Linked DNA regions of Pelodiscus sinensis. The protein of the gene in region 1 purifies or fractionates together with the protein of each later gene. This does not show direct contact. Links are inferred from orthologs where the notes say so. Each region holds a gene or a part of one and is shown in the gene's direction. Other genes may lie near its edges.

What was found.
Region 2: the proteins of ANKRD44 (region 1) and PPP6C purify together in Homo sapiens (affinity purification with mass spectrometry; 5 studies listed by BioGRID and IntAct, counting the BioPlex papers as one, with this or other methods). This does not show direct contact. The link is inferred for Pelodiscus sinensis from reciprocal best matches to the Homo sapiens genes ANKRD44 and PPP6C.

The regions. Positions count from the first base shown.
Region 1 is NC_134717.1:71,360,313-71,372,422, reverse strand, and holds the start of ANKRD44 (serine/threonine-protein phosphatase 6 regulatory ankyrin repeat subunit B), read left to right. Parts: upstream 1-7,528; 5' UTR 7,529-7,710; coding exon 7,711-7,752; intron 7,753-12,110. UniProt on the Homo sapiens protein: Putative regulatory subunit of protein phosphatase 6 (PP6) that may be involved in the recognition of phosphoprotein substrates.
Region 2 is NC_134732.1:25,003,030-25,015,725, reverse strand, and holds the start of PPP6C (serine/threonine-protein phosphatase 6 catalytic subunit), read left to right. Parts: upstream 1-7,737; 5' UTR 7,738-7,797; coding exon 7,798-7,872; intron 7,873-7,910; exon of another isoform or gene 7,911-8,113; intron 8,114-10,396; coding exon 10,397-10,492; intron 10,493-11,162; coding exon 11,163-11,228; intron 11,229-12,043; coding exon 12,044-12,185; intron 12,186-12,696. Other genes in the region: RABEPK (rab9 effector protein with kelch motifs), read right to left, coding at 303-464, 1,399-1,551, 2,427-2,584, 2,941-2,999.

The DNA.
Region 1 (12,110 bases):
CACTATTGCAGGAACATTTGGACGGACTAGCCAGCAATTGCTGGTGAACATTGGCGCCTCGGTCTCTCTCCTCAGCCCAGAGGGAGACCCAGCCATCAGTAACATCCCTGTCAGAGACAATAAGGTGTTGGGGAGGTACACAGGAGGCAATGAACTTGTATCCTTCACCGTTCCACTTACCAGCAAGATACAGGACTTTGTGACCAAGCTATCCTTCGGTCTCCGATCGTTGGGAGGCCAAGGCATTTTAGGCATTGATGCCCTAAGGAAACTGTGTATTATAGTGCACTTGCCTTACAACCGACTCCTCCAAGCCATAGAAGAGGATCAGGATGGAATAATCGCTGCGTCCCATTGAGTGGCAGCCCTGAAGCTCCGGAAGATGTTAAGATGCCTCAGTGGGATGACAATGTAGCGGTGGTAGCTGAAAGGCATTTGCGGGTGTTTGCAACTAACAAGGTTCAGTGTGGTAAGATTGATGCTGAGGTCTGGCTGGCAATATAGGTATCCAGCTGCAGCAGCTGAGGGTTTAAAAACCACCATAACTGTCCTCCTGCAGCAGGGGCTACTAATAGAGACCGAAAGTCTGTGCAACTCCCCAATTTGGCCAGTACTTAAGGCTGATCAGAAGACTCGGCGCCTGATGGTTGATTATAGGGAGCTCAATCAAGTGACACCTAGGTTGGCTCCCGTGGTGGCTAAATACAATGAGATAATGGCAGCCATCTCAGTAGGGGCCAAGTGCTACTCAGTGCTGGACCTATTGAATGCCTTTTCAGCATCCCATTGCATCCTTCCGTGATGCACAAGTTTGTGTTCACATTTGAAGGGAGACAGCTTACATTTACTAGAGTTTCCCAAGGCTTCCACAATGCCCCCTCCATATGCCATCATCATGTCTCGGCAGTGTGGAAGACCTTGAGGAACCGGGAAAGCATCCTACGCTATGTGGACAACATACTGATGGCCACTTCCACCAGAGAAGAGAACATAGAGGTCTTGGAGGAGGTTCTTGAGAAACTTGAGAGCAGTGGGTTTTTGATAAATCCAACAAAAGCCCAACTAGTCAAGGATACGATGACGTACCTGGGAGTCCGATTGAGCCCAGAGGTGAGGAGGCCAACAGATCAACAGCGGGTGGAACTGATATGCAAACTGCCAGTCCCTCGTGATGTGTTGGCTCTCCGCTCCTTCCTCGGTCTCACTGGATTTTCCAGGGAACTCATCGATAAATATGCAGAAAAGGCGAGACCACTATATCAGTTACTTAGGATGGGGCAAGAGTGTCAATGGAAAGAAAACCACCAGCAGGTTTTTTGTGACCTAGGGAGGCTTTAGCATCTGCACCAGCTTTAGCCTATCCTAGGCCCAAGTAACCCTTTTATCTGCAGCTAGGAACCTCCGGCCAGGGAATCAGCGCAGTTCTATTGCAAAATCAGGGAACTGGGCTGCAGCCTATGGCATATGGTTCCAGGGTGAGACACAGTTCAGTGCATGCAAATGGGAGGTGCTCACCCTAATTTGGGCACTTGGCCATTGGGAATACCTGGTGGGGATTTCCCCTGTGATCCTTTGGTAAGTCCTCCCTGGCCAGGTGAATGAGGGTCGAGTATCTTCCCCTAGACTGGCTAGCTGTACTCTCAGCCTTCTTAACTGAGACATCACAGTACAAAAATCACCGTAACTAAGTGTACTGCCTTCTGCACTCCTGATGGAGGACCAGGAACACAAATGTCCGCTCCCAGTCCCAGGTCTGGTCTTGGCATCGCCTTTCCAGTTGGAACCGAGCTCTGGTAGAGCCAAGGAACACGGATTGGATGGCAGCTGCTATTCCAGGGGGGTCACCTCAAGACAGGGTATGCTGCTTTCCAGACTTCCACTCAGCGAGTGCTGCAGGGGACAGTGAGATCCCATTTGGCACAAGCTGCCGAGTTGGTGACAATAGTAGCAAGCACATCTGCATTTGCTCTGACTCAGAATGGGGAGTGAGAGCACTTACTTCCTGGATGCCAGTCTGGAAGCAGCAGAGCATGAGGTCAGCCGATGGGAAACCCATTAAATATGTTGTGTACTTACATCATGCCTGGGAATTGGCCTCCGACTGTGAGGGGGAGACCTTCCTGTGTAAGGTGAAGGCCCATCAAAAAGATTCCGCCGAGGCTTCCAGACTGAACCATCGGGCAGATATATTAGCAAAGGAGGCAGCACTTTGGGGAGAAGAGTTACTGTGGACTCTGACCCTGTCGCTCCTGGTGATGAGAGTCCAACCTGCACTTAATCTAGACACTCAGGTGAACATCAAGGAGCTGCAGAAAAAGGATTTAAGCATACAGGGCTCACTGGAAAGGAAGGAATGCAAGGGCTATGAAATCTTTAAGGACAAAAATGGTCTGGTTCTGGCCTAAAAGAAAAATTTGGAAGAGGCTTTTCCGGTCCTGATGCTTCCATCGTGTCTCCAAAAGGAGATGGTGACCCTGGCTCACCAACAGGGTCACTTTGGGCCAGAAAAGACTGCAGACAGAGTCCTCTGGGTGGCTTGGTGGCCAGAACTAACAAAGGACATAGCCTTGCATATCCATTCCTGTTTAAGTTGCACAGAAATCAACGCTGACAGCTGTGTTGTAAAAGGCCCACTACGCCACCACCTTGCAGAAGGACCTTGGTGTCGACTGCAGGTCGACTGCATTGGTCCCCTCCCTAACACATGTAGAGGCAAAAAGTTCTGTCTATTAGTGGTCGATGCCTTTACGAAATGGGTGGAGGCATACCCCACTCATAATTGTAGTGCTGCCATTACTGCCAGAGTCCTTTTGAACAAAACCTTTGCCAGGTTCGATCTCCCTCAGGTTATCGACTCAGATCAAGGACCACATTTTGAGGGTGAGGTGACCAACACCCTTTGCCAAGCCCTGGGAATCAGGCAGAGATTCCATGTGGCTGGTCATCCTCAGAGCTCCGGTCTTGTTGAGAGAACAAACTGGACTCTTAAGACGGCTCTGAGAAAGATCATATGTCACCAAGGCAAGGATTGGGACCTCAAACTCTCACTGGTCCTAATGGCGGTCAGATCAACTGTGGCGAGTCATGGCTTCATATCCCATGAGGTCATGACTGATAGAGCTATGAGGATACCTGACAAATATCAGCCTCGATTAGCAACAGACATATATGAACAAGATCTTAACTGATATTAGTGCCATCCAGTTCCAAATGGCCGTGCAGTTAAAATCAAATACAGGAGAGATGGATAAGAGGTTAGAACATGTAAGGCTGATAGAGTGGGAGGTCGGGGACCAAGTGCTATATAAATATTTCTCAGACCAAGGCCATGCACTCAGCCCATGGTGGGTAGGACCTGTCTGCATAGTTAACAAGGTTAGCCCTTGCATGTATCAGTTGGAAATACCTCTTAAGAAAGGAAAAAAAAATCTTAAATGGTTCCATTCTAGTCAGCTAAATGTCTGGAAGGGCGACGACAATCCCAATCATTAATCTGTGTCTTTCCTGTGTTTGTGCCGTGGGAGCATCATCAACACCATCTCATCAATCAGCATCTATTAAGTTTGTGTTATTTGTAAATAGTTATGTATTTTCCTGTATAGAAATCTTTGTTAATAATGGGAACCACTTCTTCTGTACCATGGAGGGGATAGAAGGTATACCTTCAGGCTGTGTCTAGACGGGCAAGTTTTTCCGCAAAAGCGGCTGCTTTTGCGGAAAAACTTGCCAGCTGTCTACACTGGCCGCTTGATTTTGCGCAAAAGCATTGACTTTCTACTGTCTGAAATCAGTGCTTCTTGCGCAAATACTCTGCTGCTCCCGTTAGGGCAAAAGCCCTTTTCCGGAAATGTTTTTGCGCAAGAGGGCCAGTGTAGACAGCTAAAAACTGTTTTGCGCAAAAAAGCCCCAATGGCGAAAATGGCGACCGGGGCTTTCTTGCACAAAACCGCGTCTAGTGCTTTTGCAGAAAAGTGTCCGTGCCAATCTAGATGCTCTTTTCCGCAAATGCTTTTAACGGAAAACTTTTCCGTTAAAAGCATTTGCGGAAAATCATGCCAGTCTAGACGTAGCCATATAGTTTGTACGATCATGTGGAGCCGGTGCACCTGGGGGCCAATCTAAGCATATTGCGTCAATTGGTACAGCATCCTGAGTTAAAAATGCATATTCAGCAGCTTGTGGAAAGGGGACAAGATGTGATGTTGAGAGTCCACCATTCCACTGAGCAAATTGAAAGAATTTTAAAAAGGCTTCTCCAGGCCTCCAGATACACACACTAGTGGGAGTTTCTATTTGTCAGCCCCACCGAAATCAGCAACCCATGGTATCTATTGATACCCTTTTGTTATAATTTTGTTTGTTCCATTTCTGTTGATAGTGGGTATAAGTGTAACCATTAGATGGATAAGGGTAAGGATTTGAAGGCTGGAGAATTGTAACCTAATATCATCCTGTAATAGGATGCCAGCATCAAATCTCTTGAGAGAGAGTTTCTTGCCGGCAAGGAGGGGAATGTAGGGTTAAAATTCTCTGAAATGCCATCTTGGGCACAGCCGCCATTTTGAGAGCCTAAACAACAACAGGGACTCCATTTTGGCCACCCTTCCCCTTCCTCCTTTTCCTGCCCTTTCTGTGTTCTGGTGGGAAATCCAGTAGACATATGATCATAATCTGCCCAGTAACAGCAGGTTACTTAAGGGCTGCCTCTGGCTTTGGAGTGCAGGAGTCATTCAGACGGGTATGCCAGGTCCACGCATAGTAGGCTTAGGGTTGTGGAAGGTACACTCGCATGCAAGGAGTGACATCCATCGTCACCCCTCTCTGGTCAGGACACACTTGCACCCACGACGGCACAGGGAGAAAGGGGTTTGTTAGGCCAAACAGATCCGGCCACAGGAGGATCCAACTGTTCCGATCCTGCTGTTCCAGATGTCTAAGATTGAATCTGGAATCCAGGCGCTGCCGTGAGGGTCCCGAGCTGCGAGACATGGTATTGTCCCGTGATATTCCTCCAGGTATTTGGGTCCCTACCTTAAGTCGCAGTCGAGACTGTTTTGTTCCATTTCCTGTGGTGGGGTCCTATCTTTTTCCTGGTTATAGTTATATTTACCTTGTTTACTGTTTAATAAATCCTTGTTAGTTTACCTCTACTGTCTGTCCTAGTCCTTGGGGAAGTCCTAATAACTCCCAATCATAGAATCATAGAATAATAGGACTGGAAGGGACCTCGAGAGGTCATCGAGTCCAGCCCCCCACCCTCAAGGCAGGACCAAGCTCCGTCTACACCATCCCTGACAGATGTCTATCTAACCTGTTCTTAAATATCTCCAGAGAGGGAGATTCCACCACATCCCTTGGCAATTTATTCCAATATTTGACCACCCTGACAGTTAGGAATTTTTTCCTAATGTCCAATCTAAACCTCCCCTGCTGCACTTTAAGCCCATTACTCCTTGTCCTGTCCTCAGAAACCAAGAGGAACAAATTTTCTCCTTCCTCCTTGTGACACCCTTTTAGATATTTGAAAACCGCTATCATGTCCCCCCTTAATCTTCTTTTTTCCAAACTAAACAAGCCCAGTTCATGAAGCCTGGCTTCATAGGTCATGTTCTCTAAACCTTTAATCATTCTTGTCGCTCTTCTCTGTACCCTTTCCAATTTCTCCACATCTTTCTTGAAATGTGGCGCCCAGAACTGGACACAGTACTCCAACTGAGGCCTAACTAGTGCAGAGTAGAGCGGCAGAATGACTTCACGAGTTTTGCTTACAACACACCTGTTGATACAACCTAGAATCATATTTGCTTTTTTTGCAACAGCATCACACTGTTGACTCATATTCAACTTGTGGTCCACTATGACCCCTAGATCCCTTTCCGCCATGCTCCTTCCTAGACAGTCGCTTCCCATCTTGTATGTATGGAACTGATTGTTCCTTCCTAAGTGGAGCACTTTGCATTTCTCTTTATTAAACCTCATCCTGTTTACCTCTGACCATTTCTCTAACTTGCTAAGGTCATTTTGAATTATGTCCCTCTCCTCCAAAGAAGTTGCAACCCCACCCAGTTTGGTATCATCTGCAAACTTAATAAGCGTACTCTCGATCCCAATATCTACATCATTGATGAAGATATTGAACAGTACGGGTCCCAAAACAGACCCTTGAGGAACTCCACTTGTTATCCCTTTCCAGCAGGATTTAGAACCGTTAACAACAACTCTCTGACTACGGTTACAATGATAGATGTGGGTTTGAGGATGGGCCTGAAAGCTAATTTAGTTTGAGATCACTAGTTCTCTGGCTAACAGGAGAGGGTTCAGCGGAAGGTGACCAAAATGATTAGGGGACTGGAGCATGTGACTTACAAGAAGAGACTGAGGGATTTGGGTTTATTTAGTCTGCAGAAGGGAAGAGTGAGGGAGTATTTGATAGCAGCCTTCAACTACCTGAAGAAGGGCTCCAGAGACGATAGAGAAAGGCTGTTCTCAGTGGTGGCAGATGACAAAGAGGAGCAGTGGTCTCAAGTTGCAGTGGAGCAAGTCTAGGTCTGCAGCAGGCTGAAGTGTACAAACACTGGAAAGCCAGAGTTGTCAGCCTTTAGATGAGTTCGACACATTTTCCTAGGGGTCTAGAAGAAACCAGGGCTGGGCCAAACTCCCTGATTATATTCATTCATTAATAAAATGTCTCCCATCCTTTCATTCTAAACACGGCTTTGTATGAGCAAAGTCTTCTCTGGGGCCATCTCCTGCCTTCACATCCCCGCTAGCGATGTTAGATATTGTGTAATTGAATAGCCGTGTAACTGTAGGAAATCTTAGCAGTTACTTGACTATTCTATAGTGCCCGGGGATGGGGCCAGCAGCCACTCTGCTCCCAGTCTCCGTCCTGAGGAGCCCCTTGCCACCTTATGCTGCTGCCTCAGTCCTTAAGGGTAGGGTGGGGGTCCAAGCTCCCCCGGGGACAGAGGTTCCTGCTGCAAAGCAGCTGCTGCATCCCCTGTTTCACCCACCAGGGGGGAGAGGCAAGCAGCACTGGGGAGCTGGTGCTAGGAAGATGTTTTTCCCTCAGCACCGGCTTCTGCCTGCCCCTGTAGGAGGCAGCAAGGTGGGCTATGTGGGAGCTGGTATGTGTGGAGGTATCTTGGCTCCAGCCTGCCCCTTGCCCTTCTCTATCAGAGGCAGATCAGGAAGCCCGATTTCAAGCTAGCTCCTCCTGGGCACCCACTCCCCCTGCATCTCGTACAGCAGCAGCAAGGGAGGGGAAACTAGATCCACCCAGTTGTGTAGCCGCCCACACAACGACATCCCTGATCCCCACCACACCTCCCCCCCCCCCCTCCTGGTTCCTTCTCCATCCTGCTTTCTTCTCGCCCCCCCCAGGAGAGCGCGGAGCAGCCGGGAAGCTGCGGGGCTGCTGAAGGCAGCGAGTGGAAGAGGCCGGGGAGGAAACACGCAGCTGTGAGAGGAACAAAGAGAATCCTGGCGGGGGGAGGCGGAGCCCAGATGTGAGCAGCGGCAGGAGCAGCGCTGGTGTTTTCCCCGTGCGGGGCGGGGAAGGAGGCGGCCGTGTCCGTGCCCAGCGCTCCCTGGGCGGGGTGATGTCAGTGGGGCTCGGCGTGTGCAGCCAGGACTTCCCGCAGCAGGCCGGCTCGGGGAGCCGCAGGCGCCTCTGCTCCGCCGCGCTCCCCTCTCCGGGCTGCAAGCTGCATGTGCCGCGGCAGGATGGCCGTGCTCAAACTCACCGAGCAGGTAGGAGCCGGGACCCCCGGGCTGGAGGAGGAGGCGGCGCCGGGGTGGGGAAGAAGCGCAGCAGCGGCGCTTTGCAGGCTCCGGGCTCAGCGCAGAACCGCTCGGGCTTGGTGGCGCCCCGCGCCTGCGGCTCTGCCCCGGGAGGAGCCAGGCGAATCCTGTGCTGCGTGGGAAATGCCCCGAAGAAAGGCGCTGCGTGGGGGTGCCCAGAGCAGAGGCTTTGTCACGGAGCCAGCCTGCGGGAGCGCACCCTTCCTCCGCAGCGCTGGGCTCCACTCCGGCGCCGCCTCGCTCTGTTTTTATTTCAGTGTTTACATTGGATCTGAGCAAGTGGGTCTGGCCCACGAAAGCTCCTCACCTAAGAAACCATCTTGTTAGTCTTTAAAGTGCTCCATGGTCCTGCATTTTATTTCAGTGGCGTGGCTCAAGGTAGAGGTCAGTGCCAAGCCCAGAGCAGAGGCAGATTCGGAAGCCGAGGCAGAAGGGTGACTTTTAAATGGACTAGCTGCATTTCCTCCTCCATCTAACGAATGGATTAATTATTGAGTTGTTGGAGTTAGTGGTGTAGGTTGCCTCTTCCTCCATACGCGCATCACACTTTGCAGCTGTGCGCGTGGTTGTTAATTGGCTGTTCAAACGCTGTCAGATTCCTAGTCACTTTTTAATCAGGATAATACAACCTCTCAAGTAGGTTTCCTTATACAAGGTTGTTTCAGAGGGAAAACACAACAAGTGTTTTTTTTTTTTAAGCCATTTAGGTGGTTTAACCAGTGATAGACCTCTTTTTGCATTCCTTGTTTGGACACCCCAAACTCCCACCGAAGTCAGCTGAAATGCAGCATCAGATTTGAAAGCCACAAGCTTGCTCCTGTGAATCCAAGTTGAAATCCGGGGGGGACTCTATGTTCCTTTCCCACAAAGAATAGTTAGCAGAACTGGGGCCTATGTTTGTTACTTAGGTGAACCTAGGGTTCTATATGGAAAAGCGTTTGTTGTTCATTTATTTTTTGAAAATGTTACTCATTGCTAAGTTAGAGTTGATATATTGTCCAACTTTCAAGTCAAACTTGCCATTTTATAATTCTCAGAGTTGAGAGACAGGATAAAAATGGATATTGGCTATTTTTGAAAGGTCTCTAAGGTCTATTAACATTCTTTTAGGAATTCGGTGCTGTTTATTACTGTGATACATGGTAATTATTTTTCTAGTAGGCCTTTATGTTTAAAGAGTGCATTTTTGGTTTGGTTGCCATGATTGTTTGCAAGTTATTAGAAAATTGCAATATTCATCTGTCAGCTTATGTTAAAATGTTCACTTTAATAAAAGAGCAGCTATAATTTGTATTAAATTACTTTTTACCATTGATATATTTAGTAAAGTCATATTACGGTTCCCACAGCCTAATTTATCAATATATATTGTACCAACTGTTGCACATTTGCTTGTCTTAATCAGCTATTTTTAGTTTAACTTGGTCTCCTATAATCAGCAGTTACAGGCCCTTATTAAAATACCCCACCCTCACAAGCATACAGACATAAGTGTTTAACTATCTCCCTTGCTCATTTTATTTATGTATTTTGAGATAAATCTTCCACTAAAAATCCTGCCCCTGGCATTTGCCTTACAATTAACACAGATTTTTGAAAGGAAAAGAAACCCAAGCTACTTGTATAATAAAATTCACTAAATATTGGAAGATGACTGTATGAATGCATTTCCATAATTTAACAGAAGGCTAAATCTCCTGCAGAACCGAAAGTCTCCTGGCATGTCCCTTGATACACACACATCTTTGGATGTGGTGCTTACTGCAAATGAAGACAATGTTCCACACCGGGAGACTTAATTTTGCCCCATAGTGCAGAGAACAAGTCTCATAAATCAGAAGATTTGGGTGAAATCTGTAAATTGAAAGTATACGCTGCAGCATAATATTAAAAGTATTTGCACTATAGTTGGTACAGGTCATGTAGCATTTCTGTGCTTTATGCCTAAGCCTGAAATTATGTGTTTCATGAGGCTCTTGGAATTAAACCCCTAAAGGTTTAGCAATGGTTTTAAAGACGCCTCAACAAGGATCTTACTACATCACTGCTAGTAGAGCACAAAACAGTGGTTTGAGCCAAGTGAATTGCGTCTTGTGAAGTTTATATTGCAACAGAGAGAGCTGAGAAGTAGTGTGAACTTTTTTTATTGAATTAATTTCCCCTCTTCTTTCCCTCCCACACCTCTAACATTCCCCAGAGCTGATAGGTGAGATTTATCAGAACTGGCACGGTGACTTTGCAGTATGCCTTCTCATGGCAGCACGCTCTAAATACTCTCCAGTGCCAGTGGCATGATTCATCTGCTGTGTGGCTTCCGGGCATAGTATGGAGGCAGTGCTTCTTATGTTGGGGAGACCTCCTCCTGGTCATAGAGGTATCCATGCTCCTCCTGCTGGCACTCTGTGGCGTTTGGTGCAGCTGATCACCAGATATTCCTGTCTCCCTTGCATGAGGTTGCTGGAGAGAACAGGAGTGTCTCAAAATGGCGTAGAGTCTTTTTTTCTCTTTTTATTTAAGACTGATCTTAGGAAGTTGTTCTGAGCCATTAGTTCTTCATATCTAAAGCCCACCAAGGCTCATCCTTTCCCCCCATGTTATTCGGTATCTGTAACACAGCCAGCGGGAGGCTTTGCATGACAACACAACCTGAAGTGCCAGTAGCACGCAGAGGGTTGCCAGGCGCTAAATCCTCCTTTGCATCAAATATAAGCAGCACCTTGTCACAGTTTTCTCTGTGCCTACCAGGAAGCAGTACCTGGGAGAAGAGCAGTTAGCTAAAGTTGAATTATGGTAAGACTGAGGCAATGCTGGTAGGAAGAATGATGCACTTTGAAGTACTTACATCTTTATAACTTCTCCACTGCCTACTGTATGTGTCTTTGGATTTAGTTGGTCCACAGGCTATATTACTCTGGGTGTCCAGATAGCCATGACAGCAAAGCACACCAACTTTCATGGCACTCTGACTCCTGCATTTGTGATCTTCAGTGTTGATCTGATTGTGACAACTTGTTATATTTAGTAAGAAGCCCCACACCCTGTGGCAGCTGCAACGGATACAAAATACAGCAGCTTGTCTGTTTAGCAGCACAGGACAGTCACCTCAGCATGCTGCTCTCTGCGCATGCATGTAAAATCTGGATCAGGGTTTCCATGGCATGGGATTGCTTCCGTCTGCCTGAGAGACGTCTTCTCCCAACTCCCCCCATAAGTTTAACTTTCACTAACAAATGCCTTCCACTGGGATAATGAAACTGTGGACCCACAGGGTTTGAGAATGCGGGGGATAGTATACCTCCTCCTCTGTTACAGTTTTATGGTACTTAGCAGCAAAAGATGAAAGAAGTTGGGATAAGTAGTAAACATAAGTCTGATTCCAGTGACTTAGGTTTTCCTTGTTTTCTTCACATGTGCCTCTACTTGCTCTTGCCCTCTCACACATAGCAAGCAAACAAAGCAGGCAAACAAAAATCATCATAAACAAATGAATTTATTTTTCATACCGGGTCAGAAAAAAGGAAGAGATGGTTATTGCTGTTTTAAGATACTTGAGAAGTGCTAGGTCACTGTTGTGGTGGAACCAGAGAGTAGGTATACTTTATAAGCTGTCTTGATGGTATTTCTTAGGCAAGAAAGCTTAGTTTAAGACTACATCCTATCTGTTTCTGGTCAAACAAGTTACATGAGCTACTTTCTCACTAATGTCAATTGATAGATGGTCAGCTGGACCACATGGTAGCTTTTTAATCATTTGAACCAAAGGAAACGTGTTCAACCCTCATTCACTTGTGAAATCAATTCTTGTGTATCTATATTCCTTCTGTTCCTCACCCCCCATTTCAAAAATCGAATATGAATGAGTGATCAAAGTCGTCAGCTTAAATAAAATGAACAACCCCTGAACGTGATTAGACACTTAAGATTTCCACTTTGTTGACATTTCTGTATGAAGCAGTATTGAGTGACAGTGCTACTTACAGCCTTTCATATCGGTTCTAGATAATCCACTTGTTATATATGCAGTTTGTTTCCCCTACAGTGTGTGCCAATTCCAACAGGCCTGGTAACTCGAAGTGCCTTTAGACCTACAAATGAAAAGTGACATTTCAGCACAAAGTGGCTCTGCTTTTTATCCTCCTTTCTTTCCCCATGCAGTTTAAGGTCTGACCATTTAGCTTAGTATTTTATATTCAATGCAGCTGTGGCTATATGTAATAAGAGAATATGCACAGGAACTAAAGTTGAACATGAATGAAAAACTAATGTTTTGATAACTGGGTAGTCCTACACATTCAAACATGGGCTCT
Region 2 (12,696 bases), on another chromosome or scaffold:
ACCTCAATCCCGACCGGCAATGCCAATGACACTCTTCTCTTAGATCTTTCCACTGAAGGTACTACCAAGTTCCCGTGTGATGTTGATAAGCTTCAGATGGGGGGGAAGCCCATTAATCTAATTTAAACCTGCAGCCAAAAAACAGTGTCTAATAATACACAATACTCTATTACCCACTTCTTTATGTATTATTTCCATTTCCAGGTCTTTGTATCTGTACCACGCAAGCTTTCAGTTCAAGTGGACAATGAATCATTGAACTCAGTGTAAGAAAACATTAGTTATTTAACTTATATTATTACTTGTGTCAAACACATGAAGTTGTGCATCTTTAACGGGCTCTGCTCCTTTATCTCCCCCTCCAAGCACATAAAGCCGGTCTCCTATAGCCGCTGATGATGTGTGGTACGTCCTAGGGAGTGGCTGAGTCCCAATCACTTGAGGGCTTTCCCAAATTCCTGTGCCTAATTAAAAGAGGAAATGATAATTGTTCATAAATATATAACAAGAAGTTACCTTGTGTATATGAATTTTTCAGCACTGAAATTGACTCGACGAGGAATTATTAAGCACAAACCACAGTGATGAGCAAAAGTCAAGCATGGCAAAAAATGGCTTTTGGGAAATGAGGGAAAAAATCCAAGTTGCAAATGAAAGGTCAATTTGTTGCACGTGCCTAATTCAGGTTTGTTTACAGCACCTGACAAAATGCTATATCCCATCTACATAACCACAACTGACTTTGTGGAATGTATTTATACACTGAAATCAAGCATGGCTGCTGGGACTTCCCACTAATCCTAGAAAGCTTTTGTATTTATTCCACACCTTGATATTTGTACAGTGAATCTTTATCATTGCACAAGTCGAGACGTGTAGTGGAAGGCAACAGACAGGCTGAAAACAGGCACACAAAGCCATAGAAAAGGGAGAGGAATTTTAGTTAACTCCAGGGCAAACACCTCCAAGACTCTTTAATACCCATGCAGAGCAGACCACGCTATATCGCACTCAAATGACCTACATTAAACTGCATGGTGGGCTGAGCTGCCTCTGGCAGGACTCACTTGTTTGACACAAGAATGCTCCTGCTGGCATCAGGTAGGGGATTTGTTGCTGTGAAGCACTAAGAACAGTGCATTGCCTGCAGCAAGGAACCCAAGGGGAACACAGCACTTTCAGAAAATCATAGGTTTGATCCTAGCTAGTCTTTAAAACTTCTAGGAAGAAATAAAGAAAATCAGCAGCCTGTAAATACAGCTTTTGAAGTTGTAACCTGGACATTGCAAACGTAACCAGGTAATTCAAACAGTTTCTCAGGTGGATAACAAGTGCATGTGCAACAATCCAACAAAGAAAGAGAAGACTGGAGATGGGTGGATTCTACCACACACTCACCTAGATTCAGCACTTGAATGCAGTTTCTATTTCCAGACTGGTCAGCCCCTCCAAACACCCAGAGGCTAGTGGGGCTGCTAGTGGGAATGAAGGTGGCATGTTCGTATCGAGGCAACAGGCCCATCCAACCAGGCATTGACCATTGGTGTCTATCTGAAATGGAGGGAATTACAGAGCTCCATTTACAACACTGATGTTTACAGTAATGCTGCCGCCCCGCCCCGGGCTCCGCATGTAAACATGTAACCACTACAAAATTCAGTAGTTACACGTTTGCCAAAATAAACACAATTTAATCTCCCTATTGAGTATGGAGACTGAAACTTGAAAGAGTCCCCATAAATACACCCCAGCATACAAACACGTGACAGAATATCTTTCATCATTATGTTTCCTAGCTCACCTCTCTCATCCCCCAACTAAATGACTGTGGCTGTCCATAGCTCAGATCACAGACATGAGATTCAAGTCCAGAAAATGCAGACTTGAAACTTTATTCCCTTCTAGGCTCCGATCCTTCAGTTACATCCACAACCATATGCAGACCCATGCAACAGCAGGATTGAGCCCTTCATCCATCTGGAGAGGATGTAACACTTAAGGCTTGGTCTACATAGAACTATATCACTTGGGTGTGAAAAACCCACATCCCCAAGCAATGTAGTTATGCTGACTTTCACCTCCAGTGGGGATAGTGTTATGTTGGGGGAGGAGAATGTCTCCCATCCCACCAACACAGCTACCATAGAGGGTGAAGTTACTAACCTAACAGGAAAGCGTTCTCCTGCCAGATGAGACTGATAATCGTCACCAGATACAGTGCAGCTGTAAGTTTGTTGTGTGGATCTGCTGGAATTAACCGTGTTACTGCTTCTAGGCCTAATCACAGCTTTTGTTATCCCACTGAAGTGTTTTCATGGATCTGATCCATTCTTCCTCAAACACAGCAAGGATAGAACAGACGTTTTGGTTTCCAAGGACAGACAGCATAATAGGCAACAAAACTGCTGAATGCTTCCTGCTCTTACCCAGATCTATGATGTGGGCATCAGAGAAACTGCCACTGGGGTCTGCTCCCCCAACAATGACCACTTGGCCTTTCCCAGCAGTTGGGGCTGAAGGCAAATATAAGCAGTTATGGCCAACGCGTGCATTAGGCCTTTCTCCTTGAGGGACAAGCTTGTACCTAGAACAGGGAAACACAGGCATGAGAATCAGGCCTGGAGTGCACAAAGTAGTTTGGGGAGGAAAGGACAGGGATATTTGTAGTGCAATCAATACACAAGTGCTGTGCTGGAGAAGGGTGTGAACCACTCCTGGACCAGGGGAATGAGGGGAAAAGTGAGTTTAGAATACAGTCCCCACACTCTGATCTGAACCCATAGGCTCATCAAAAATGCTAGGAGGAGGATGGGTTATCAGGGTTTAATGGGGGAATCTGACCCACAGACTCCAGTGAGATAACTGGGGTCATAACGCAATAACAAACGACAGTAATGGGAGAGGCTGAGGAGAAATGGGAAAATGCTCAGATGTACTGACCACGTGCCCCTTTGGGGAACATCTCCAGGCTCCAGAATTGGCAAGGCCTTCGGCCTCATGGGTCTTGAGCAAAGGAAGCAAAGCCAGAGTCACATTAAAACCCTCTGGGGCCTGCAGGAAATCTCCCCCCCCCCGATCCCCCCCCCTTGCGGGCAGGGGAATCGCCCCCCCGATTTCCCCCCCCCCCGTGCGGGCAGGGGAATCGCCCCCCCAATTTCCCCCCCCCAGTGCGGGCAGGGGAATCGCCCCCCCCGATTCCCCCCCCAGTGCGGGCAGGGGAATCGCCCCCCCCGATCCCCCCCCCAGTGCGGGCAGGGGAATCTGCCCCCCCGATCCCCCCGCCAGTGCGGGCAGGGGAATCTGCCCCCCCCGATCCCCCCCCCAGTGCGGGCAGGGGAATCGGCCCCCCCGATCCCCCCGCCAGTGCGGGCAGGGGAATCTGCCCCCCCGATCCCCCCCCAGTGCGGGCAGGGGAATCGCCCCCCCCGATTCCCCCCCCCAGGGCGGGCAGGGGAATCTGCCCCCCCCGATTCCCCCCCAGTGCGGGCAGGGGAATCTGCCCCCCCCGATCCCCCCCCCAGTGCGGGCAGGGGAATCTGCCCCCCCGATCCCCCCGCCAGTGCGGGCAGGGGAATCTGCCCCCCCGATCCCCCCCCCCAGTGCGGGCAGGGGAATCTGCCCCCCCGATCCCCCCGCCAGTGCGGGCAGGGGAATCTGCCCCCCCGATCCCCCCCCAGTGCGGGCAGGGGAATCTGCGCCCCCATCCCCCCCCAGTGCGGGCAGGGGAATCTGCGCCCCCATCCCCCCCCAGTGCGGGCAGGGGAATCTGTCCCCCCCCGATCCCCCCCCCCCAGTGCGGGCAGGGGAATCTGTCCCCCCCATCTCCCCCCAGTGCGGGCAGGGGAATCTGCCCCCCCGATTCCCCCCCCAGTGCGGGCAGGGCAATCTGCCCCCCCCATCTCCCCCCAGTGCGGGCAGGGGAATCTGCCCCCCCATCTCCCCCCAGTGCGGGCAGGGGAATCTGCCCCCCCCCGATCCCCTCCCAGTGCAGGCAGGGGAATCTGCCCCCCCATCCCCCCCCAGTGCGGGCAGGGGAATCTGTCCCCCCCCGATCCCCCCCCCAGTGCGGGCAGGGGAATCTGCCCCCCCGATCCCCCCGCCAGTGCGGGCAGGGGAATCTGCCCCCCCCGATCCCCCCCCCAGTGCGGGCAGGGGAATCGGCCCCCCCGATCCCCCCGCCAGTGCGGGCAGGGGAATCTGCCCCCCCGATCCCCCCCCAGTGCGGGCAGGGGAATCGCCCCCCCCGATTCCCCCCCCAGGGCGGGCAGGGGAATCTGCCCCCCCCGATTCCCCCCCAGTGCGGGCAGGGGAATCTGCCCCCCCCGATTCCCCCCCAGTGCGGGCAGGGGAATCTGCCCCCCCCGATCCCCCCCCCAGTGCGGGCAGGGGAATCTGCCCCCCCGATCCCCCCGCCAGTGCGGGCAGGGGAATCTGCCCCCCCGATCCCCCCCCCAGTGCGGGCAGGGGAATCTGCCCCCCCGATCCCCCCGCCAGTGCGGGCAGGGGAATCTGCGCCCCCATCCCCCCCCAGTGCGGGCAGGGGAATCTGCGCCCCCATCCCCCCCCAGTGCGGGCAGGGGAATCTGTCCCCCCCCGATCCCCCCCCCCAGTGCGGGCAGGGGAATCTGTCCCCCCCATCTCCCCCCAGTGCGGGCAGGGGAATCTGCCCCCCCGATTCCCCCCCCAGTGCGGGCAGGGGAATCTGCCCCCCCCATCTCCCCCCAGTGCGGGCAGGGGAATCTGCCCCCCCATCTCCCCCCAGTGCGGGCAGGGGAATCTGCCCCCCCCCGATCCCCTCCCAGTGCAGGCAGGGGAATCTGCCCCCCCATCCCCCCCCAGTGCGGGCAGGGGAATCTGTCCCCCCCCGATCCCCCCCCAGTGCGGGCAGGGGAATCTCCCCCCCCCATCTCCCCCCAGTGCGGGCAGGGGAATCTGCCCCCCCCGATCCCCTCCCAGTGCGGGCAGGGGAATCTGCCCCCCCCGATCCCCCCCCAGTGCGGGCAGGGGAATCTGTCCCCCCCCATCCCCCCCCCCAGTGCGGGCAGGGGAATCTGTCCCCCCCCATCCCCCCCCCGTGCGGGCAGGGGAATCTGCCCCCCCCGATCCCCCCCCAGTGCGGGCAGGGGAATCTGCCCCCCCGATCCCCCCCCAGTGCGGGCAGGGGAATCTGCGCCCCCATCCCCCCCAGTGCGGGCAGGGGAATCTGTCCCCCCCCGATCCCCCCCCCCAGTGCGGGCAGGGGAATCTGTCCCCCCCCGATCCCCCCCCCAGTGCGGGCAGGGGAATCTGTCCCCCCCATCTCCCCCCAGTGCGGGCAGGGGAATCTGCCCCCCCGATCCCCTCCCAGTGCAGGCAGGGGAATCTGCCCCCCCATCCCCCCCCAGTGCGGGCAGGGGAATCTGTCCCCCCCGATCCCCCCCCAGTGCGGGCAGGGGAATCTGCCCCCCCCGATCCCCCCCCAGTGCGGGCAGGGGAATCTGCCCCCCCCATCTCCCCCCAGTGCGGGCAGGGGAATCTGCCCCCCCATCTCCCCCCAGTGCGGGCAGGGGAATCTGCCCCCCCATCTCCCCCCAGTGCGGGCAGGGGAATCTGCCCCCCCCGATCCCCCCCCAGTGCGGGCAGGGGAATCTGCCCCCCCCCGATCCCCCCCCAGTGCGGGCAGGGGAATCTGTCCCCCCCCATCCCCCCCCCCAGTGCGGGCAGGGGAATCTGCCCCCCCCGATCCCCCCTCCAGTGCGGGCAGGGGAATCTGCCCCCCCCGATCCCCCCCCAGTGCGGGCAGGGGAATCTGCCCCCCCGATCCCCTCCCAGTGCGGGCAGGGGAATCTGCCCCCCCATCCCCCCCCAGTGCGGGCAGGGGAATCTGTCCCCCCCCGATCCCCCCCCAGTGCGGGCAGGGGAATCTGTCCCCCCCCATCCCCCCCCCCAGTGCGGGCAGGGGAATCTGCCCCCCCCGATCCCCCCCCCCAGTGCGGGCAGGGGAATCTGCCCCCCCCGATCCCCCCCCCCAGTGCGGGCAGGGGAATCTGCCCCCCCCGATCCCCCCCCCCAGTGCGGGCAGGGGAATCTGCCCCCCCCAGTGCGGGCAGGGGAATCTGCCCCCCCCGATCCCCCCCCAGTGCGGGCAGGGGAATCTGCCCCCCCGATCCCCCCCCAGTGCGGGCAGGGGAATCTGCCCCCCCCGATCCCCTCCCAGTGCGGGCAGGGGAATCTGCCCCCCCCCGATCCCCTCCCAGTGCGGGCAGGGGAATCTGCCCCCCCCGATCCCCCCCCCAGTGCGGGCAGGGGAATCTGCCCCCCCCGATCCCCCCCCCAGTGCGGGCAGGGGAATCTGCCCCCCCATCCCCCCCCAGTGCGGGCAGGGGAATCTGCCCCCCCCGATCCCCCCCCAGTGCGGGCAGGGGAATCTGCCCCCCCCGATCCCCCCCCAGTGCGGGCAGGGGAATCTGCCCCCCGATCCCCCCCAGTGCGGGCAGGGGAATCTGCCCCCCCCGATCCCCCCCCAGTGCGGGCAGGGGAATCTGCCCCCCCCGATCCCCCCCCCAGTGCGGGCAGGGGAATCTGCGCCCCCATCCCCCCCAGTGCGGGCAGGGGAATCTGTCCCCCCCCGATCCCCCCCCCCAGTGCGGGCAGGGGAATCTGCCCCCCCCATCCCCCCCCCAGTGCGGGCAGGGGAATCTGCCCCCCCCATCCCCCCCCCAGTGCGGGCAGGGGAATCTGCCCCCCCCCCGATCCTCCCCCCAGTGCGGGCAGGGGAATCTGCCCCACCCGATCCCCCCCCAGTGCGGGCAGGGGAATCTGCCCCCCCCATCCCCCCCCCCAGTGCGGGCAGGGGAATCTGCCCCCCCCCGATCCCCCCCCAGTGCGGGCAGGGGAATCTGCCCCCCCCATCCCCCCCCCAGTGCGGGCAGGGGAATCTGCCCCCCCCCCGATCCTCCCCCCAGTGCGGGCAGGGGAATCTGCCCCCCCCCCATCCCCCCCCCAGTGCGGGCAGGGGAATCTGCCCCCCCCCATCCCCCCCCCAGTGCGGGCAGGGGAATCTGCCCCCCCCCGATCCTCCCCCCAGTGCGGGCAGGGGAATCTGCCCCCCCCCATCCCCCCCCCAGTGCGGGCAGGGGAATCTGCCCCCCCCCCGATCCTCCCCCCAGTGCGGGCAGGGGAATCTGCCCCCCCCCATCCCCCCCCCAGTGCGGGCAGGGGAATCTGCCCCCCCCCGATCCTCCCCCCAGTGCGGGCAGGGGAATCCGCCCCCCCCGATCCCCCCCCAGTGCGGGCAGGGGAATCCGCCCCCCCCGATCCCCCCCCCAGTGCGGGCAGGGGAATCCGCCCCCCCCCGATCCCCCCCCAGTGCGGGCAGGGGAATCGCCCCCCCCCGGCGGGCGCTGCGCAGGCGGAGGAGCGGCCGCCTGGATCGGCCCCGGCCCGTTGGGCCCCCCCGGCCCGGCCCCCCCGCTCACCGCCGCGGGGCGGGGAACCCGGAGCCGCTTCACAGCGCCGCCCCGCCCCCCGCGCGGCCAGCGCGCTGCCCGGCATGCCCCGCGGCTCCCGGCATGCTTTGCGCCGCGCGCCAGGGGCTGAGGCAGAGCGCGCGGGGCGCGGAGGCGAAGGCACCTGCCCGCTGGAAGGCTGTGGGGGCGGGGCGCTTCCGCTTCTGGCCCCCGGGTCGCTCAGGCTGACCGACTTCCGGCCTCCCGCCCCGGAAGTGCCCCTCGTTTCCGGCCCGTCGCCGCGGTAGTGGGGCTCGGCCGCCCCCGGAAGTCGCCGGCTCCCGTTTCCGGCCCCGGCTGCTCGGCTAAGATGGCGCCTCTGGACCTGGATAAGTACGTTGAGATCGCGCGGCTCTGCAAGTACCTGCCCGAGAACGACCTCAAGGTGAGCGCGGGCGGGGCCCCGCGGGCTGCGGGAGGCGCCTCCCCGGCCGGCCTGCCCCGGGCAGCAACGCGCTGGCCCCGCCCTGGAGAGAGACCGGCAGCTCCCCAGGGTGCAAGGAAGCGGGGCCGGCGGGGAGCCCGAGCGGACGGGGGCTCTTCAGCTTGGGAACGCGCTGCGGGACCCCGAGTCTGCACCGCCAGACTGACAGCGGAGCCCCCAGGGAAGCGTCACTTACTCCCAGGCAAGAACCAGCGGCCACCACAGGAACTGATAGGCAGCAGGTTTAAGACAAAAGGGAGTATTTTTATACACAACCTGTGGAACTCCTTGCCAGAGGGTGTTGTGCAGGCGAAGGTGATAATGGTTCAAAGTTTAGGAGGACAGGTCCATCAATGGCTGTTAGCCAGGGTAGTCAGGAATGGTGCCCTTAGCCTCTGTTTGCCAGAAGCTGGGAATGAACAACAGGAGATGGATTGTTCAATGATTATGAGTAAACTTAACAAATAGTCTTGCAGCACTTTATAGACTAACAAAACCTGTAGATGGTATCATGAGCTTTTGTGGGCACAACCCACTTTTTCAGATGATTATGTTACTGTCTGTTCCCACTGAATTCACCTGGCCACTGGCTGTAGTCAGAAGATGTGATAGTGGGCTAAATGAACCTTTGGTTTGACCCAGTAGGGCTGTTATTATGGTAAAAGACAGTAGTTTTTGTTCTGCAGATGCTTTTTTTTTTCTTCAGATCTGGGAAAAATACTCAGAGGGCTACTAAAATCTCTACAATGGGATAGCTGCACTATTGCAGCTATGCAACTGTAGTACCTCTGGTGAGGATACTGTGATGTTAATGGGAGAGGTGGCATAATAAAACCACACTGGTGCTTACAAGAGCTTCAGGGGGTAGCTGAGTTAGTCTGTTACAGAAAAAAACAACAAATGGTCTGGTAGCACTTTATAGGCTAACACAACATGTTGATGGGATCATGAGCTTTCGTGGGCACAGCCCACTTCTTCAGATGACTGGAGTTATGAGTAGGGGATATGAAAACTTGAAATAAATAGGAGGGGGGGAGAAAAAAAGAAAAAGGGAAGGGTGTGTGACACAGAGCATCATTAAGTATCTGGAGAATGGGTACTTAAACCTAAGTACATCTTACAGTGTAACTTATATCACATGTTGTTCATACCCCCAGCGACACAAATTATACCAACACCAGTGGTAATGCCTACAAGCCCACAGTGTCACAGTTAACAAGTAGGTGGGAACAGCTTGTTTAACATAAGTAGTAGATAAACACTGCGGGAGACCATTAAAAGTGAACTGATCCATTAATCATTGTATATTGAGAGTCCTGCAAAAATAAGTATGCGGTACTCTTTCCCTCTACGAGTTAGTGGAGTCAGCATGCCTGAATGTGTGAGGGGGATTCTTTTCTTTTTTGTACATCATCAGTGGAATTGTTTTCTAAGTTTTAGTGAGCTATACCTGTGAACCACCTGTGAAGAACATGGCACTGTTCATGGGGTTGCACAGGCGTAAGTGAGACTTTAGTTATTGATCGGTGAGTGAGCAGGAAAGAATCCAGTTTGAGTCTCTGATCTCAGGATGAGTTTTAGGTTTTGCAGTTTTGCAGATGGAAATTAACTTTTTTCCTTGTTAGCTGAGCATATCTAATACAGAAACCATTGATAAAATAAACATGAAATAAAGTGGCAATCTGACTTTCAAATTTTAGAGCAAAACTGCAATTTAATATAGCATTTAAATAACCTAAGATGCACTCATTCTGTGAACTGTTGCTCTATTCATTGAGACACACTTAATTTTAAAAAAATGTTTAGCTAGTAACGGATTTTCTTACATATTTATTATCATCCCAAGCAGTGTTCCCTGTATGATGTGCATGTGCATCTGCTCAGGGGTGATTAATATGTTGCCCAGCTGACTAGCAGAGCGCTCATGCCTAGGTTTTGTTTCTATCAGTGGTGCACATTAAGATTGTAAGAGTGTATGTGTTTTAACAGGTAATCCAAATGACTGCACATAGCTCCCAGTCTGGATTCTGGGGAGCTGCTTGCTGCCCTGCACTGCTGCCTCTATCAGAGACAGCAGCATAGGGTGGTGGGGGGAACAGGTATGCGCAGGGAGCGGCTTAAGTCAACTCCCAGAGAGCCACCTACCACCCTATGCTGCCTCCTGGCGCGCTGGCTGCTGCCCTGTGTGTAACCACTGAACATTTCAGTGGTTACACATGTCAATTACATGTGCTGTGCACTAAGGGATGTTAAATTTGCACATGCCTGGGAGCCCATACAAATTTTATTCTGCACATTAATGAAAAAAATCCACACATAGATAGAAAAAATTAGAGGGAACATTGATCCCAATTCATTTGATCATGATCATGGTGTCTAGAGACTTGAATACATTCTAAAGCAAATAATTTATAAATCTGTTATTTCTTGATATTACAATGCACAAAAACCTCAGCCTGATCAGTGTAAACTTCTTTTTCTGTAGCGCTTATGTGATTATGTGTGTGACCTGCTGCTTGAAGAGTCAAATGTACAGCCAGTATCTACGCCAGTTACAGTTTGTGGAGACATACATGGACAGGTAAAGTGGCGCAACTGCTTGCATGTTATATTCCTAGAGAAGAGCAGTCTGTCACTTGCAAACATTTTTAGAAAGGTAGATGGTGAGGAGTATTTTAAATATGTGGTTGGGGAAGCAGAACTAACTACTGAACGTTCAATAATTTGCAATATTCTGTGTGCACTGCTTTTGCACAGTGGAAGGAAAACCTACTGTTTATAATTTTCCCGTAGTGTACTTTTGGGAGGCCAACCTCACAGAATAAGAAGAGCTGCAGAACGATCCTCACTTTCAGTGATCATCTGTGAACTGCTGTTACTTAGACTGCAGTTGCTGAACTATTCAGTGCTAATAGGGACCTCGTCCCAGGAGGAGGGAACTCCCATTTGAAGCTGATGCATGTTTATGCAAAGGGGTTGCAGGATTGAATCCAGGATTAGCACAGTGTGCAGCTGCTCTCTTAATTTGGCAGTTAATGTGGATTTTTAACACCAGGAGGATGAATGGGAAATATGTCCCTTCAGCCCATAATTGTACAGTGGAACTTGTTTAGACCTATTTTTATCTTTTTTTTTTTAAAATAAAGATTATTTCTGCCTAAACCTAGGTACATTCCAATTAATTGTACTAATACACTCTTAGCTAACAATGATAACAGAAGCCTTAATGTTTAAACCTTTTTTTCCCCCAGTTTTATGACTTGTGTGAACTGTTCAGAACTGGAGGTCAGGTTCCTGACACAAACTACATATTTATGGTATGTACATATTGGATGTTGGTCATTCAAAAAAGTGTAAGGAAAGCACCTGTACAATTACACCGATTAAAAACAAAACCCTCAACTTTCTTTTGGTTTTTGTTTTTAGTAGGGATGTCACCAGTTAACCAGCAAGCATCACCCTTACTGAGTGTGTCTTACTGGTTAACTGGTGGCCAGGCCCACCACACCCTGGGCAGGGGCCTTTCCAGCCTCATCAGAGCAGCTCGTACTGTGGAAAGCTGGGCCCTGCCATGCTGCGAGCAAGGCTGCTGCTCCAGCCCAACCGTGGGATCCCGTTTAACCAGTTAAATGTAATGTTTAACCAGTTAACTGATTAACCAGGATTTTACATTGCTAGTTTTCAGTTTCCATTTTTAACTCTCTAGCATGTAAACTTCTTTTCACTCCCAAATTTACTCTTCCACTTGGCTAATGTGTGTGGCTTTTATTTTGTCCATTAAAATTTGAAATAGGTAATGCTGGTTCACACAAAAGGAAATACATTTTTTTTTAAAGCCTACTATCTAAAAGCTCTAGCTTACATTGGCAGTAGAGGGAAAGTTAAATATGAGGAGCTAAAAAGAACACCCTGAAACATTTCTTGGATGAATGGGAACATAAGAATCACAAAAACAATGGTTAATTTTTTTAAAATGTAAAATTTCAGATATCCAGTTAAACATTTCTTTAAGATGTTCTCAGAATTTTTTAGCAATGGTGCTTTATGGGCGTCTGCAAATTAAAGAATTATAAATAGAGATACTACTGTTTGCACTCCTGAAACTATTCTTCCATATATTTTAAATTTTCAGGGTGACTTTGTAGACAGAGGTTACTATAGTCTGGAGACTTTCACCTACCTTCTTGCACTAAAAGCTAAATGGCCTGATCGTATCACACTCTTGCGAGGGAATCATGAGAGCAGGCAGATAACACAAGTATATGGATTTTATGGTAAGTCGTTATAAACGGTTGCTGAGCTGTGGTTAATGTCACAAAAATGCAGTGAGCTCATTCTGTCCTTTCTTTGGGCAATTTTAATTGTGAATACAAAGCATACGCAATTAAGAGGCCAAGTGGATTGAGAAATAGGATTAATCAGAACTGTACGCCAATCTGAATTTATACACTGCCAAATAGTAAAAGAACATTCCCCGTTCTATGCTACAGTAATTGCAGTCTTGAAATGGACTGTGCTCTAATTTGGATGGAATTCTAGTTCTCTCTCTGGGTACGTCTAGACTACAAGCCTCTTTCGAAAGAATCTTTTGAAAAAGCTTTTTTGGAAAGAGATAGTCTAGACAGCCACAACTTTTTCGAAAAAGCCCTGTTTGCAGCCAAGAACGCCTTTTTTCGAAAGAGCTCTTTCGAAAAAAGGCGTTCTTCCTTGTAAAATGAGGTTTACCGCTGTCAAAAAAAGCCACGTTCTTTCGATTTAATTTCGAAAGAACGTGGTGGCAGTCTA